Linked DNA regions of Oryzias latipes. Each later gene encodes a partner of the first gene's protein in a complex. Links are inferred from orthologs where the notes say so. Each region holds a gene or a part of one and is shown in the gene's direction. Other genes may lie near its edges. The genes, in order: lrrc7 and camk2a.

Region 1 (8,338 bases):
ACAAAATAAAAATAAAGGAAGTCTATTTGTATTGATTTTAAATCATTGTTAGGCTTGTGTCTCATTGCTTTCAGCAAAGACTATTATGAATACTTAACGTATTAAAAAAGAGTTAGACTGCAAATCTTACAGCATGAGAAATGTTCTTTATTTTGATAAAGTCAGCAGTTTTTTTTTCTCATGAAAAAAATGCAATGGCTATTATAACACATTATATAGATATTATTTTGTTTATAACAAATCTATTTTTTAATGTTCTTGTGTCCAGAGTTTAATAATAGACTGTAAAAAGTCTTTGCAAAGGCAATTAATTGCCCAAAGCCTTCTAAATTTGTCAATTGTTGTTGCCAGGCAACAAATATGATCCCTGAGCGAAAAAGACTATGCTCACTTTTGTTTGAAGGACATTTCAGCCCTAGAAGTGAGATGTTGTTGACGCTGATTTGAACCTGAATGTGATGAGGCGGCAATCAATCTGCAGGCTATCAGAGAGAAGAATGACTTGCAGTGTGATACAGTGACAGCTTCCCCTGTACTCCTAGTTTCTCCTTAAATTCGGGCAGTCTTGGAGAATCCCAGCACTGCCATCTGGGTATGACTGAAGCTCCGTCTAGGTAAAGCCAACTGGCACCGGGGAGGACAGTGTGTCACTGTTACAGCAAAGTGAAGGAGAACCACCCTGTTAGGGGGGTCATTTTAAGCCACAATAAACATTATTTCCCTCTTTTCTTTTTTACATTTCATTTATTTTTAATTTGTGCCTTATAACATTTCCACATCCTTTACGTGTTTGGTGGTCTGATGCAGCCGTATCACTTGGAGCGTTGCGTCTTCTTGGAAGACGATCTTTTTTTCTTCAGTGGACAGTTTTGGGCACGAGGACGTTGAGTAGATCTTTGAAGGGTCCAAACTGCAGAAAATCCTGCCAAAAATGCAGAAGGGTAAAAACACTGTCAACATAAAAATTTGGCTTCACCGTCTTGTCAATTCTATTGAGATGGAAGGGATTATACATATTAGAAAAACAGCTGAGCTTGTTTGATGCCATCTGGCAATCTGTCGTTCAATATTTACAGAGGATATCAGACTCTGTGCTACATCAAGGTTTTTTTTCCTGGTTCCCACCCAAATGTCGGATCTTCTTTCTCTGTTTTCACTGCTTGGCAAGTCTGGGTTAAATACAGACACGACTTTTCCCTTAAGGGGTATTTTGGGTTTATTAACAAAGAACAATAATGAGTTAGAGATCACTTATAACTGTGGAGAACTTTTGAGCTAAATGGATTTTTTTTCTCTGTGGGAGTAGAAATTAATGAATCGTGTTTATAAAAAAACAAAACAATTTCTTCAAGTAAGCCACCTCAATGTCCTACATTTTCCTCCCTCTGACGGGAAACCGTGGCAATCAATCCAATACCAACAACTCTGAAAAGGCATTAAGCTTTTGAATTGGGAGGGGGTTCAAACCCATACCTCCACAATTACTGTGACTTTAACCTTTAAAAAGTTAAACTCCTGTGACTCTATGTATCTTATCTTGCTCAAAGATGCAGGTAATTAGACTTTATCTCGGTCAGTATCCGAGCAACTGCCCCCCCTCCCATCTCCTCATCTGAGCACACTGTGAAACTGAACTTTGCATTGCTGCACCCCAAAACCAAGCTGCAACTAATTTAAGATCTCGTGTACACTGAATGTCTTATTTTCTCATTTATATGTTTTTTTCTTTTCATGTTTAGTCTTTGCTGTATTCCCTTTTGTACTGATTCTGCACTTTGGTTATTTATTTATTTATTGGGTATTTATTTGGTGAATTGAACTGAGTGGCTGTTGTTGATGCTCCAAACGTATTTTCGTTATTTCACTGACAATGACAAATAAATCTTCTTGAATCTTGAATCAGGTGAGGATACGCCTCATACATCACATGCTCAAACAAAACAGGCTTGCACTGAGCTGATAAGGCTATTTTATAATCACCTATTACTAAATTGACAGTGTATTGATGGTGTTTTCAAAAACGTTTTTACAAGAAAACCGGAACACTTAGACAAAATATTGTGGAAAACAACAAAAGACAAGAACAAATGCTGCACATTTCTGTGTTTTGTGGGCTTTTGAGTCTTTAGAATAACATCTGATCCTTGCAAGAAAAATCTGTATTCACCCACTGCTGGTGTGTCTTTTTTAACTTTTGATAAAAACACATTAACCCTTTATCACCACTGATTTAAACAGAAATCTCGGTCACTCAATACTTCAGAGATATTTTTGCACTATATAAAGTTCACCTTTATGATAGTTCCTCATAGGACTCATTTGTTAAACACAGAAGTCATAATCTGGACTGTTTCTTTCTTTAACATGGTAGCAGTGCATGGATCACATGGAAAGTATATGAAAACAGTCAGATAAGAAGAAAATATCATACAAAAAATGCTTGTACATATTCAGTTATGCAAAAACTATAAACAATATAGTCTTCGTGCTCCATCTTAAACAGACAATGGTTAACCATATAAGATCACAAATAAAAATGCAAATGTACATGCAGTCATCATGCAATAACACTTACTTTTGGATTTTTAAATTATTCTTTGTTGCAATAAGATGATTTTTAATATTTGTATATACTGCTTTTAACCTTTATTTATCCCGGCAAGATGGAAGAACAATATTTTCAGCTGTGGTCTGGCAAAAGGCGAGACATTTAGAAAAAGGGACAGAAAAGGGGTTACAGGAAACGGACAGAAAACATCAGCGAGAAATTTCGAAACACCTGGTTTAACTAGATTATGAAAGGCAGTGAATGTTATGTGTTCTATATTGTTTCTCTCTTTTTTGGAATTACATCTACGGAACCCTTAACATAAAGGTAAAAAATATAGCAGCCTCATCATAAATTGCTCCTTAAAATTGGTATTGTGTGCACAAATTTCTATTTTGTTTGCTAAAATAGCTTTTCCCCTCCTTTTCCTCTGGTTTCAAAAACATACATTTTTTTTTACATCTGTTTAATGATACTGCGTGTAAAATGTTCCTAGAGGAGATTTTGCTTCATACTTCAGGTTATTAATAACTCGAGCAGCTCGTGCAAACATCTTCTCATAAATTGAGCTGTCAAAACTGGGCTATTTTGGTTTGAAAGAAGAAAAAAACCTCAAGAGAGATGAAAGAAGCAGCATGGCAGCGGCCCTAAAAGACAGGCTCCGTCTTCATTAAACAACACCCGCACAGATGAAATATTCATCCCTCTCTCCCATGAACTCATAACACGGTTATTGGTGCGCACGCGCAAACGCACCTGCTCTGGCGTCCCGGTTGCATCTTCATCCCTCCCTCTCTTCTTTTTCTCCGCGGGGGACAGATGGGAGGAGACGGTCCTCCTGGACGTGCAGCGGGGTTTTCACGGACAATGTTCCCTTCGTTTCCCCGCAGCTTCGCCGTTCGTGGACCGAGGAGTTTGGAGTGGAGGCTTCGCGTATGACTACTTGGATTTAAATCAGGAGACATGAATCTCCCGTAGATGCGCTCATCTCTTGCTCCCCGGGGGACTAAAGATGCGGGTACCTGTTTCACACCGGCTCGGTTCGTCCCGGTAGCCTGATCCTGCTTGATGCTTCGGAATCCACAGGGGCCACCAGAGAGATTGCATTTTTTTTCTAAAGGAATCGGATCCCCCCTCCCAGCATCCTAACAGATGGATAACTACTCGGCTTTACAACGTAAGGCAGCTCTGTCAAACGGTTTTCCTCATTCAATCAGCTCTTAATGAAGAACAAAATGTCTTCTTTTCTCTGAATTGCACTCTTAAGGGTTAAAGCAGCATATTGTGATTTTTAAATGCAACAATTTAGAGGAAAAGATGGATCAATGTTGCCCCTACATTTGCAGTGCTTTAATTTTTTTTTTTTATTGTATTCTTGCACCAAAAAAGAAAGCCATTCATCGCTTTACGAACCTTCATCCTCGGACCTTTTCAAGCTATGATCACATGAAACAACTATATCTGCAGCAGGGGGGACAATGATATATGATGCAGTGCCTCCCCATCTTGACATGTAACCCCAGGCTGCTCTGCTGTCACAGCGCCCTGCGTTCATGCATTATCTACATGCACACACCTGTTAAATCCACCAGCCGCATGTTTTTTGGCTTATTCCCCCACCCGTCCCATTATTTGTCTGTATCAGCCTGTCACACCTGTTACAAGCTTGTAATGACACAGGCGTTTTAACCATCCAGCCCCAATGCTTCACTGCTGCACTTAAACATTTTATATTATCTGAATCTTAATCGCTCCAGTTAAAGTGGATGCTGTATAGTGTTGGGTGCTCTTCTTTATGCCACATATTAGATTGCACTGAGGCGTGCATGAAAAAGGAGCATCAAAGAGAATGTTAAATATCAATCTTCAATGCAAAAATATTTCAAAGTCTTTCATTCTGTGTTGCTCTAACGATGACCATTAATAATTTGCTTTTCCGGAGGGATTTGGATTCCCACTTAATAGCCTTACTTTGTATAATTTTGCAAACACTCAGGGAGGAGTTGTCCTATTTGTCATCTTTGGACATGGATTGTTCCGCATGCATCTGCATGTCTCTGTGAATTAGAAATATATAGTTGTTTGTATGAATACACAGGAAATTCCTCTTCAGTGTGCCATCTTTTAAATGTCCTTTTTTTATTACATTAAGGGTACAAAGAATTTTTCTTCCTTTCCTTTCATGTAGCATCTTGACTTTTTTATTAGGGATAAAACAAATGTTTTAATGTGTTAAAAAAAATCCTTTTATAAAGGGGTCTATTGATTAATCAACATCAATGAATCGTATTTATCTCTGAGTAGCACCGGTTGAATTTTTTGGCTTAGGATGTCCTGAAGCTGAATGAATTAGATCGAATCGTGTCGTTAAAAATTAACCAATATCGACTATGCATCATATCAGCAACCACAAAGTATGATATTAATTGAATCAATAAAAGTAATCTTTCAATCATTACACAAAAGTAACTTTTTTTGCGTTAACTTCAGCCTCCCAGTAGAGTTTTTCCAAGAATGCATAAATCAATAATTTCTTTGCTAAATTCAAGAAAAATATTGATTTAAGAAAAAAAATATTAATACAAAGATGATGGAGCATCTCATATTGAGCTTTCTGTGTAATACAGTATTGCACCACAAGCTGATTGGTCTTAACAGTCAACAATAACTCAATATGCACTTGGCTGAGATTCATTTTGGAACAAGTGTCTTTACCAAAAATTAAAAGTTTTGTTCTATAGAAGTCATTCTGTTGTCTGTCAACAAACAAACAAAACCAGAAAAATGGACTAAAGAAATAATGTTTGACACAAACTTGGGTTTTCAGAATGTATTATCATTTAATTTCTCTTCTAAGAACAGATCTCCTCAAATATCTTTGACAGAATAAAAAAAAAATCATTAAGAAATTGTTAAAACATTAAGTTAGTTTTTATTTCAAAAAAGTTATTTTGCAGATATAAACTGTTGTCTCTGACTCTAAATAAACACAAAATAATTATAAACATTGATGCCCTTAAAATAGAAGCTTTTGTTTTAGGTTTGCTGAGTTATATTTGTCTAATTATCAGTTGTGCTTCATCCTTTATGAAGCTTTTATTAAAAATCTGGTGATGCAAACGTACCATCTGAAACTATTAAAACACACTGTTTTACAAACCTTATTTTATAAATCCTTTCCACCTCCTTCCAACTCAAGATGATTTGCGTGATGTTTTGCATTCCAGAGCGGAGTGAAATGCACAAGGCTTTGGATCCTGGACAAGATAAATGCATTAGCACTTCCCCTTCAGACAGCAAGCCTGCATGCAGGCATAGTTGGAGTGTTGTTTTGGGGCTTTTTGCTGCTCTTCCACTTAAGCTGTGACAGGACACTGCTGTTCCTGCTGCTGCTGCTGATGGTGATGCCGCTCGTTGCCTAGTGACTGTATCCATGGAACTGGCTCCCATCGTCATGGTGATGGGCTAAGGGATAGATATCCAGTGAGGGAAGGAAGACAGAGATACCAGCACAGCTGCAGTGTGTGTTATGATGAGGATTTATGCTGATATTTTAGGAGAAGGGATGAAGGTTATGGTGCTTTTGTTTTGACATGAGTTTGCAGTGTTGTTACATTCTAGAGTGTGATATTGAAAGGTCTGGTGAGGAGGCTAGTTTGGTTCTGAATCTTCATGATCATTTTTAAAACAAATATGTGTTTTGTCAAGCCTGCTGTTGTCAGAGTATGACCAAAATATCAAGTCAGCATCTTAATGGGAAATTTTCCATTTTAATCATAATCTTTGTACACTGTTGATGGATAAAGGCATAAACTATACATATGGTGCATGTAGCCATTAAATCATAATTGCAGGACTTCAACAACTAACACAGATGATCTACAACTAGTGTGACTAGTGGTTTAAATATTTACATTTATTTGTAAATCTTTATCTTTTTTATTTCAATTTCAAACACTTTATTGAACTAAAACACATTTTTAATAATAATTGATACTTTATTTATACTTTATTTATGTATTATTTATAAATTAACTGCTATGAAATGAATAGAATATTTTCACATCAGATTGTCAGCAAGGTAATTTTTTTTAAAATCTTATCCTGAAAACATTTCTGTTAGGGAGTGCATTGACATTTTACAGACAGCTTTTGGGCTTTTTATGGAAATGTACCGTGGTTACATCTTATAGTGGCTTTTGTCTTTGTTGTAGTTATGAAATCCATTAAAATTACAGGAAATGTAAACGGCAAACAGTTTTACGACTTGACAGAGTAAAGCATACATTTACAGCCAAGGGGAAGACCGTAGAATGAGGAGACAGAAACATTATCCTCCTTGTCACAGTACATACTGGGTTGTGGGTTTGCACCAACTGCATAAGCTGCTCTAAACTTGTCTTTTAAAGGATACATTTATCCCCTCACGTTTTTTTCTTGTACCAAGTCTCAAAATCTTTTTTCCTGTTTTCAATCTGCAAGCATGGATTTTTTTGTGTGGGGGGGTGTGGGGTATATTAACTCCCTCTTTTAGTCTTGGTGACAGTGTTTCTATGGTTACATCATTGGCAGTGTTGACTTAGATATTGCATAGATATTTGGCTCAAAATTGAGCTTTTAGGTTGTTGATTCTCAAAAAAAAAATATTTCAATCTCTTTTTGTGTTTTTCCCTGATTTTCTCTCATTGTCAATTTGTGCTTCTCAGGTGCAAAACTATGTGATGTCTGTTTGGGTTACTGAGACTAAAATCTGAGACAAAAATATTGGAGGACAGAAAAACATTAACTTTAAATCAGTTGATGAATGAGTGTTGGTTACAAAACTTGAACACACAATTTTCATTTTCCTGAAAAGTTTTTGCTGTCTGCAAAAATATAGTAAGTGTTGTCATGTTGAGGTTTGTTACATTATGTCGCTTTTTTTTATTTTTTTATCTTCACACCCTTCAGTTAACGGGTGTCTTTAACAGTGGTCAGAGTTAAATTATAGGTGAGATTTGAGGGCAAAGGTTTCATACACGCTGCTTTATGCTAATATTTGTTATTCTTGGATTAGATTTACTTATTAAATATCCCTCAAATCAATATCAAAAATACATTTATAGCTCTGACAGAATTATTGGCTTTTTATAAAGCTGTTGTAGATGTGACAATAAGATCAGTTGGATTTCACTGGCTTTTCATTTAAAATAGGGTTTTTTTTAATCTATGAGCTTTAATTCTGTTTTGGCTGCTCTCCAGTTTTGTGGTGATTACCACATCAAACCAATTTGGGATGTTAGGATACATTTCTAGATGCATCTAAGCTCAAACCTGTGACTTGCTTCGAATAAGACAGTGTTCCACATACCAGGGAGCTTTTACCAGATTAAATTGAATAAAAGTTGGATTATGAAAATCCCAAGTGATTTAATGTTAATCAACAACATTTTTACTGTGTTCAGAAACATTGTCTAATAGCGGTAAGTTTAGCTGACTCATTGGAATGTTTGAGACACTACTATTTAGTGGAGATTTGTTGATTACATTTTTTCAGAAATTTCCTGGGAAAGGGTGAGTTCATTGTGAAATAAAGTGTTACTTATTCTGACCTACATTTCAATTCTTATTACTTGATCAATTATTCATATTGAAGCTAGAATAGAAACAATTTCTACTTGCAGAACTGTCTGTGGTCTGCTTCCACTAATTATATTTGTCTTGATTTTATGATTCTTAACCCCTTCATTCCGTATGTCACAAATTTTCGACATACCATTAGATCCAGAACTCCACTTAATATAGAATCCC
Region 2 (7,793 bases), on another chromosome or scaffold:
ACGACCAGGCCCCCCCCACCCCCTAAGTCACGGAGTTAGCTATGGGAGACCAGAGAGACTGAGTTCTTTCAAAGTTACTTGAACCTTGGGCTGACATTTTTTCCAAGCTGATATGATCAAGCAGCAGATTTCTGTGTTGACTTATATTTATATTTTTCTTGCTTTTCCAATTTATTAAAATAGTTTTTTTAGCAATGCAAAGAGTTATGAAAATGATAGAGCCTAATCCTCCTTCTACATCGATGGCACTCATGTCACCAAGCACACAAAGTGACGGTGAAGCTGTGATTGAAACCTTAAGCCAGACTGATAGATCGGCACATACCTGCTGCCAGAGAGCCTGGACAGGCGTGCAGAACCACAGTGCATGCATGTAATTGTCGGGTAGATTACTGTCACAGTGCTGACAAATGTCTGAGTTACTGAGACCCATCTTGAACATCCTCTGTCCAGTGTAGTAAATTCTGTGAAGAGTTTTGAAATGGATTAGCTGCAGATTTGGACTTTTTGTCAGTTTAAAGGTGTTTAGACAAAGTTCTGACCAAAAGCTTTCATCTGTGCTGATGCTCAAATCCGCATCCCATTTTGTTGTCGGAAGTGAAATATTATTATCTAAGTTACATAAAAGTTTGTATATTTTGGAGAGAGTTTTATTCATTGTGAAATTGATCAGAGTGGTAACTACATCTGGTAGCTTTAAATCGTTGTCTCTGTATTTAAACTTTTTAGTAATAATTGATTTAAGTTGCTGATATTCCAAGAAGTTATATATTCCATGTTTGTCTTGAAGTTCCTGGGGAGTTATGAATCTTCTATCAATAATTATGTGCTCTAGTTGTTTTATGCCCCCTGCTTGCCAAGCTGGGAAGTGGATAATCTTTTTGTTTATGAGGATGTCTGGGTTGTTCCAGATGGGTGTCATTTTGCACGGTTGAATTGATGAATGGTTGAATTAATTTGTTTCTGAATGCAAGGGATTACACAGAAATTTTCCATTTAGATTGGTCACTTATGCAGGCCATAATAAAACCTTTTTCCTTGTTGTATGGATTTGGACTGAATGGACGTCCTGTTTTTCTGCTGGAAATCCTGCACTGATCAGGTTGAGGATAGTACCTGTTCAGTGCAAGAAGCATGAATCGACTTTCCGTCATGGCAGCACTTTAGTGTCTCAGGTGTTTGAAGATACAGTATGATATGAACATGATAAAGATTCATCTCCCAGTTTTTTTTTGTTTTCTTTGCAACTCATTTTCAATTCTCTCCATTCTCACTGCTTCTTTCCTTCCTCCCCTTCTTCCTTTTTTCTTTGTTTCCTTTGTCCCCCTTTCTCTTCTTCCTTCATCTCTAAGGGGGCCATCTTGACCACCATGCTGGCAACCAGAAATTTCTCTGGTAAGTTGTTGGTCTCAGCCTGTCAACATATGTGATCCAGTTGAAAGACCACAAGTCACCGGTTTCTGACCAGGTTGGGTTAAAGTCAGACAGTTCCTAAGGCCTTCATCACAACTGCCCTTATGAGTGGATATGAACATAGGCAAACCTGTACAGGGCATGATGCGAGTGACAGGTTGTAGCTTAATGCTAATGGATAATGGAGTTTCTCATAGGAAGGCTAATGCTAACGCTCATTCGACCTAGACGCACATTGTTGAATTTTCCAAACTCTTTTAAGAAAACATTTTTTTTTAAATAACCATTTGTGATCTAAAGCACTGCTTTTTGCTCAGTCTTCTGGAATAAAGTTTAATGCTATAGCGCGAGCTCCACCTAGTGGCCAAACTCAAACTTCTTCCAGGAGAGGCAGAACATACTGATCTGCACTTTTTGTTGGCGTGTCTCCAATTGAGAAACCGTGTAACACTGTATGGTGCTAACAATCTCATTGGTTTATTATTTCACTAATACATTTTACAGTCTGTGAACTGTATCAGATTAACATGAATATCTTCAAAACATATGTAGATTATTAACGTATTTCAATACAAATAAATCTGCCCTTACAGATGGATAAAATGGGCAAACCACAGCAGGGGACATGCAGGTGTCCCCATACAAAATTTTTAAGATCACGGCACTCGTGAAGCTCATGGGCCTCCACAAACCACAAAGAACTTCAACAGCACATGTACGGCTCAACTCCCACACAGAAGCATGTGACCAAGGCTTAAGACTACTTTTTGAACTAAAAAACAACAACAACAGAACAAACCAAGAACTTTAGCATCTGAAGTAAAGCTGGTCACGTAACCTAAGAGAGTCAGGTGATTTGAGAGAGTTGGTGCTCAATTGACATGAGAGTGTGGTGACATAGCTTAAGAGAGTCAGTGGATCAAATGACCTGAGGGGATCAGGGGCTGGTTATATAACCTGAGGAAATCAATGGTCATATTACCTGAGAGAGTTGGGCGGGGTGGGGGGCATGATCTAGAATAATAAGGGAGTTAGTGACTTGAGGGAATTGAGGATGACATGACCTGAGCTATGTGACATCTGCCCTTTGACTTACTGTTTCAGTAGCATAAATTTAGGGAAATAAATCAACCAATCAGCTGGCAGCTTACACTTGATTAACAGGTCAGGGCTCTTTGTGTGTGTGTGTGTGTTTGGTATGCAGCTGCTGCATCCCCAATCCAAAAATAACAGGGAAACCCTCCCACACTGACTGTTTGTGTGTCCACTGAGAAACCCTATCTGGCCCCTGCACATGCTCAGTGGCATCCCCTTTGGTCCTACACCCAGACACCTGAGTACATTGTCTTCATGCCATCTAGAAATACCTGCAGGAGTCTGAATGCACAGGTCCAGAACTGGACTGAGAATCAAGATTAGATCCGAATTGGTTTAAACTTGGCCATAATCAAAGGAAGATTGCTGCAGAACTCAACACTACACAGCTCATCAGAGGGGACGACGTGTGTCGCAGCCATGCCCGCTCAGGAATGTGCTCCTCAGCCCCGGAGTCAATCCTAAATTTGGCCGTCAGTCTCATAGACCCACATGCTGCTCTGGGAACTCCCCTTGTCCATCTGCAGCCAAAGCTGAAACTGTTGCTTGTGCGCTACCTGCTGCTGGTTCTATTCTCTGAGGTTTGCTGGATGCTCAAAGGCAGCAGCTGTCAGTGTGATGCCGTCGCTCTTCTTCTCTGCATTTGTTCCTTTCTTTCTGACTCTAGTGCTTCTCTGTCTTTTAATCCTTATCCCTCGTTCAGGGGGAAAAAGTGGAAGCAACAAGAAGGCTGATGGAGTGAAGGTAAGTGCTGGATCAACATTGTGTGTCAGAGTGTTTGTACCTATGTCTGTGCACACAGTAACACAACAATACAACTTAACTTCACTGAAATTATTCTAAACAAACATCAAGACTTCTGGGAAAATGTCTTCTTTGATCTCATTTCCAAAAAGGAAAAATTAGATAAATATCCTCCAGAGCCAACAGACAGAGCGATAACTCTACCTTCTTTTTTTATTTTATTTATTTTACTTTCATTTATTCAACAATGAGGAAATTTTTCTCCGCATTTTAACCCATCCCCTGGGGGGAGTGGTGAGCTGCAGACAGCTCGAATTGATCCGCCAACCCTTCGGCTGTTAGACGACCCGCTCTACCGCCTGAGCTAAACTGCCACCCGCCCTTTATCAGAGCGGATGCAAGATAGCAGCTGTTTTTAGTCTCAACAGAGGATCTATTACTTACCATCAGTTGTGTTTTTCTATTTTTGCCTTTCCATATGAGAGCATTAGGACTCACTCATACTTCCGGATTAACACATTTAAAATCAGGCTTATCAATCCTCATTGTTTAATTGGATTATAAACACTAACAACACTGCAATAAAATACATACAATGATGTTTTTATATGCTTTAGAGTCATAGTCCTATTCACCCATTCACACACACATTCACACACTCTAGGCTCTGTTGCCTAGCGCTGGTACCAACCTATGACTACCAGGACCAATGTGGGGTTCACTATCTTGCCAAAGGCACGTGCACTGTTGGATCGTACATGATGGGTTGTAAATTGATGGAATTGATCATAGATTCCAGATCATGCAGTTTGGACCAGATCATGAATTATGGATAACTGATACTGGAGCATGATATAGATTTATAGATCATGCATGATGGATTATGGACAGACCTGTGGATGGTCGATCATAGATTACTGAGTTATGGATTGTTGACAGTGGATAATGGACTGAACAACAGTCTACACACAATATGTCTGCAGTTTGAGTCCCTGTTAAAGCTTCCACACATTTTAGTGCTTGAACTCAAACCCACCCATCAGTAACCCATAAGATGAATACTGCACCTTTAGAGAAGACACACAGCTGGCTGAATGTTTCAGTGTTGTCATTGTTGTGTCTTTGCTGCCATTGTTGTGCTGTTTCATCAAAGGTTTTTCATTGTTTTTACAGGAGTCTTCTGAGAGCACCAACACTACAATTGAAGATGAAGACACTAGAGGTGAGTTCACCAAGACCTGAGGGGCATCAAATGACGCAGCTGATGATGCATCCACAGTGATCTTAACATATGTTTGTGTGTGTGCGTGCGTGCATGTCTTTCACATCTTTGTTTGTGCACGTCTCAGTGAAAAAGCAGGACATCATCAAAGTGACTGAGCAGCTCATTGAGGCCATCAGCAACGGAGACTTTGAGAGCTATACGTATGTGATGAGTACATTCTGATGCTTACTCTAAACATCTCTGACAGCTTGTTTAAGGTGTATTTTCTCTCTTCCATTCAGTTCAATCTTTATTTGATTTTTTTGTCCTCATTGCTACAGTAAAATGTGTGACCCAGCAGTGACTGCGTTTGAGCCGGAAGCGTTGGGGAATCTTGTTGAAGGCCTGGACTTCCACCGCTTTTACTTTGAAAACTGTGAGCTGATTCAGACTTTCTGCCTGGCTGTGAGTTGCAAGATTCTGATTGTTCACCTAAGTAGCTGTATGTTTCTGTCATAGTGTGGTCAAAGAACAGCAAGCCAGTGCACACCACCATTCTGAACCCCCACATCCATCTGGTGGGCGACGAGGCCGCCTGCATTGCCTACATCAGGGTGACGCAGTATATCGACAACAATGGCACGCCTCGCACCGCCCAGTCAGAGGAGACCAGGGTGTGGCATCGCCGGGATGGCAAGTGGCAGATTGTCCACTTCCATCGCTCTGGCTCCGCCTCCACACTCAACAAGTAAATCACAGTCCAGTTGTGTCCGACGAGTATCTTGTTTCCATCCTAACGGTGCTGACCCGCCACAAAGCAGGGGGCACTGCAGCTCCCCACATTACATTTCTGTGTTCAAAATGGATAAGTATCTTTCATGGTTTTTAGTTTGATATCTCTTTTATCCTTCCAGCTAACTCCAGTCCAAAGTGGGCGGGTCTTTGATGGGCCGCCGTTGCTTTGGCAACAGGCCAGACATCTGATACCAACAGTTAAGGATTTTGTTTGAGCAGTTGGAGGAGGAGATTACTGGGCTGGAAAATCAGACTCTTCCTGCAATGAACCACATCACATCCAATTAACCAATCCGCTTTCTCCTCTCAACAATAACCCTCTACACACAGCCAATCAGCTCCCTTGGTGTAGTTTAGCTGCACAGCACAGGTCATGTTTATGTTGGAAACCTCGTACCTCGTACAGGACTGGTGCTACACTGCAGCCCTCCTGTGGTCCGAACCTCTTTGTCCCCAGCATGTTGTGGAGGTCACACTACTTTAAGGAGTTCACTACTACAAGGAGTTTACCTTCATGTTCTCTCATCTTCATCATTAACAGTGCTCCTAAGCTCACCTCCAAGATTTGCATCAATAACATCCTGATCGAGGTGATTCCAGGTTTCCTGCAGCTGAAGCTCATCACCAACCAATCATGTCTATCTATGTCATTATGCTCTAACAACAGTTGCCATGGTAACCCAACATATTTTAGATCAGGGGTGGGCAGCACAAGTCCTCGAGGGCCACTGACCTGCTTTTTATCCCTTTTCCCTGCCCCGTTTGCTGCTGATTACCTGGATCACGTGTTTCCAGCCAATCAGAGGCTGCAATACCACAATTGTTTGTAAAAGAACTGGGAGGTGTGGAGCTGCCCACTCCTGGATGGACCATAAGCATCCATTTCTTCCACAAAGGTCAGCTGAGGGTTGAAGATTTGATGTTCTTCAGAGGAACAGCCAAAAACAAAAAACGTGTTTGACCTTTGAGCTGCAGATCTCCAGGCTTTCAGGAACCTGAACCTGCTCATTCTGTAGATGTTCATGTTCACAATCAGACAGACCTTCACAGAGCTCAAAGAACTGATGATCAGTGGAAGAGAGTCTGGATGTTTGGAGGAGAGATATTCACTTACAGAACTTTTGGTTGGTTAAATGATCTGAACATTGCTTTTGGGAGAATCCAAAGCTGCAAAACCTGTCCCGAGCTTTGATTGGAGCCTCTGAAAGGGTTCATACGAAACATTCATCTTCTAGAACAGCCGTTTGATGTCTCTGGGTGATGCAGGAACATCTACAGTGATCCTGAGATCATACAGTCTAAAGGTGGATAGGTGATCCGTGACATCACCCAGACATCCCTGCGTGACAGAACTCGTCTCTTCCATCAGAAGCTCCAGAAGCTTCCACCTCTCTCTTGCTTGCGATCTTCCATGAACAGTTTATACTTTAGCTGACCCCTCCCACCCCACCAAGGTGTCATGACAACAAAGCCAGCTAACGAACTGAAATGTTTTTTTCTTTATAACTGAGGGGGATGAGAAAATGGCTCCCAAATCCACTGCTGGCTGTCTGGACAGCTCCAGAACCAACAGACTCCCTTCCTGTTTCAAATCAGCGACACAAAGAAAATCCCTGCAACATATCTCCTTGTCACCTGTGACTGGCATCATCATGGAAATGGACAAAATTTCAGAGGGACCAAAGTTGACCAAGAAAACGGCTTGTGCAAAAGCACATGTTAGATATCTGCAGGTCAGCAGGACCTTAAACAAACACACAAGAAGAAATGCGGACTAAAATCCATCACAAGAGCTCCATCATTCAAGCACAACTGAGTACAGGGGTGTAACACTGAGCTTTAGGAGTCAAATATGATCTACATAAAGGTTTTGGGTAGGGGGAAACCCAAACAATCTGTGGCATGATACGAAGGAATCCATGGTTCTTCTGACAACATACTCTGCAGGTCTGTTTGTGTCAAGAGGACGACTCTGGTGAAACTCTTGCTGTCAGTTGGGTCCAATGCTTCTGTATCGAGGAGACACCTGCAGTTCTGGAATCCTGAGCTCTGCGGTCCCCCATCAACAGAGACGGGCAAACTTATCTATTATTTTCTTCCTTAGCAGGGTAGCTCCTTCATGTCAGCATGCCTGTGTGTGAGCGGGATGGGGGGTGTTGCTTTTCAGGAGTTTTAAATGAACGTTAGCGGCGCGTCTCCAAGCGGCGTGGATTCGGGTGGGCGTGGTTGGTCTTCAACAGCTAGGCTCTCCTTTGGGTTTTCCTGGAGAGTCCGTTCTTCCTCTTCAGCGCCGTCTTTTGTATATACCGTAGGATTTGCTGCATGCTGACTTTGTGTGTTGTGTTTGGGTTTGCGCTCACCATATTTCGGGCCTTCGCTATGATTCTTCAGTTTTTGTTAGCAATCCCTCTTGGGGACATTGGGGTGTGTTTAGCCACCAGCTAACAAAATATGGGCTCCACCCCTTTGACCAGCTGTGTTTGTCTCAGAACCTTTAACAGGCTTTTTACTGTCTGCAGAAACTTTGTACTCTGATAAAGAT

Evidence for each region.
Region 2: the proteins of lrrc7 (region 1) and camk2a are in contact, whole or in part, in a crystal structure (PDB 6X5G), measured with the Homo sapiens proteins. The link is inferred for Oryzias latipes from reciprocal best matches to the Homo sapiens genes LRRC7 and CAMK2A. Residues at the interface, in NP_001357714.1 of Homo sapiens: His843, Gly844, Arg845, Arg846, Pro847, Leu848, Ile849, Arg850, Gln851, Asp852, Arg853, Ile854, Val855; in NP_001350919.1 of Homo sapiens: Glu96, Phe98, Glu99, Ile101, Val102, Lys137, Glu139, Leu159, Phe173, Ala174, Gly175, Thr176, Pro177, Gly178, Tyr179, Leu180, Ile205, Gly209, Tyr210, Pro211, Pro212, Phe213, Trp214, Tyr222, Gln224, Pro233, Glu236.

The regions. Positions count from the first base shown.
Region 1 is NC_019862.2:17,794,202-17,802,539, forward strand, and holds the start of lrrc7 (leucine-rich repeat-containing protein 7), read left to right. Parts: upstream 1-3,355; 5' UTR 3,356-3,700; coding exon 3,701-3,725; intron 3,726-8,338.
Region 2 is NC_019872.2:23,211,304-23,219,096, reverse strand, and holds part of camk2a (calcium/calmodulin-dependent protein kinase type II subunit alpha), read left to right. Parts: intron 1-1,352; coding exon 1,353-1,395; intron 1,396-3,211; coding exon 3,212-3,252; intron 3,253-4,425; coding exon 4,426-4,474; intron 4,475-4,601; coding exon 4,602-4,677; intron 4,678-4,797; coding exon 4,798-4,892; intron 4,893-4,975; coding exon 4,976-5,204; intron 5,205-5,370; coding exon 5,371-5,374; 3' UTR 5,375-7,793. UniProt on the Homo sapiens protein: Calcium/calmodulin-dependent protein kinase that functions autonomously after Ca(2+)/calmodulin-binding and autophosphorylation, and is involved in various processes, such as synaptic plasticity, neurotransmitter release and long-term potentiation.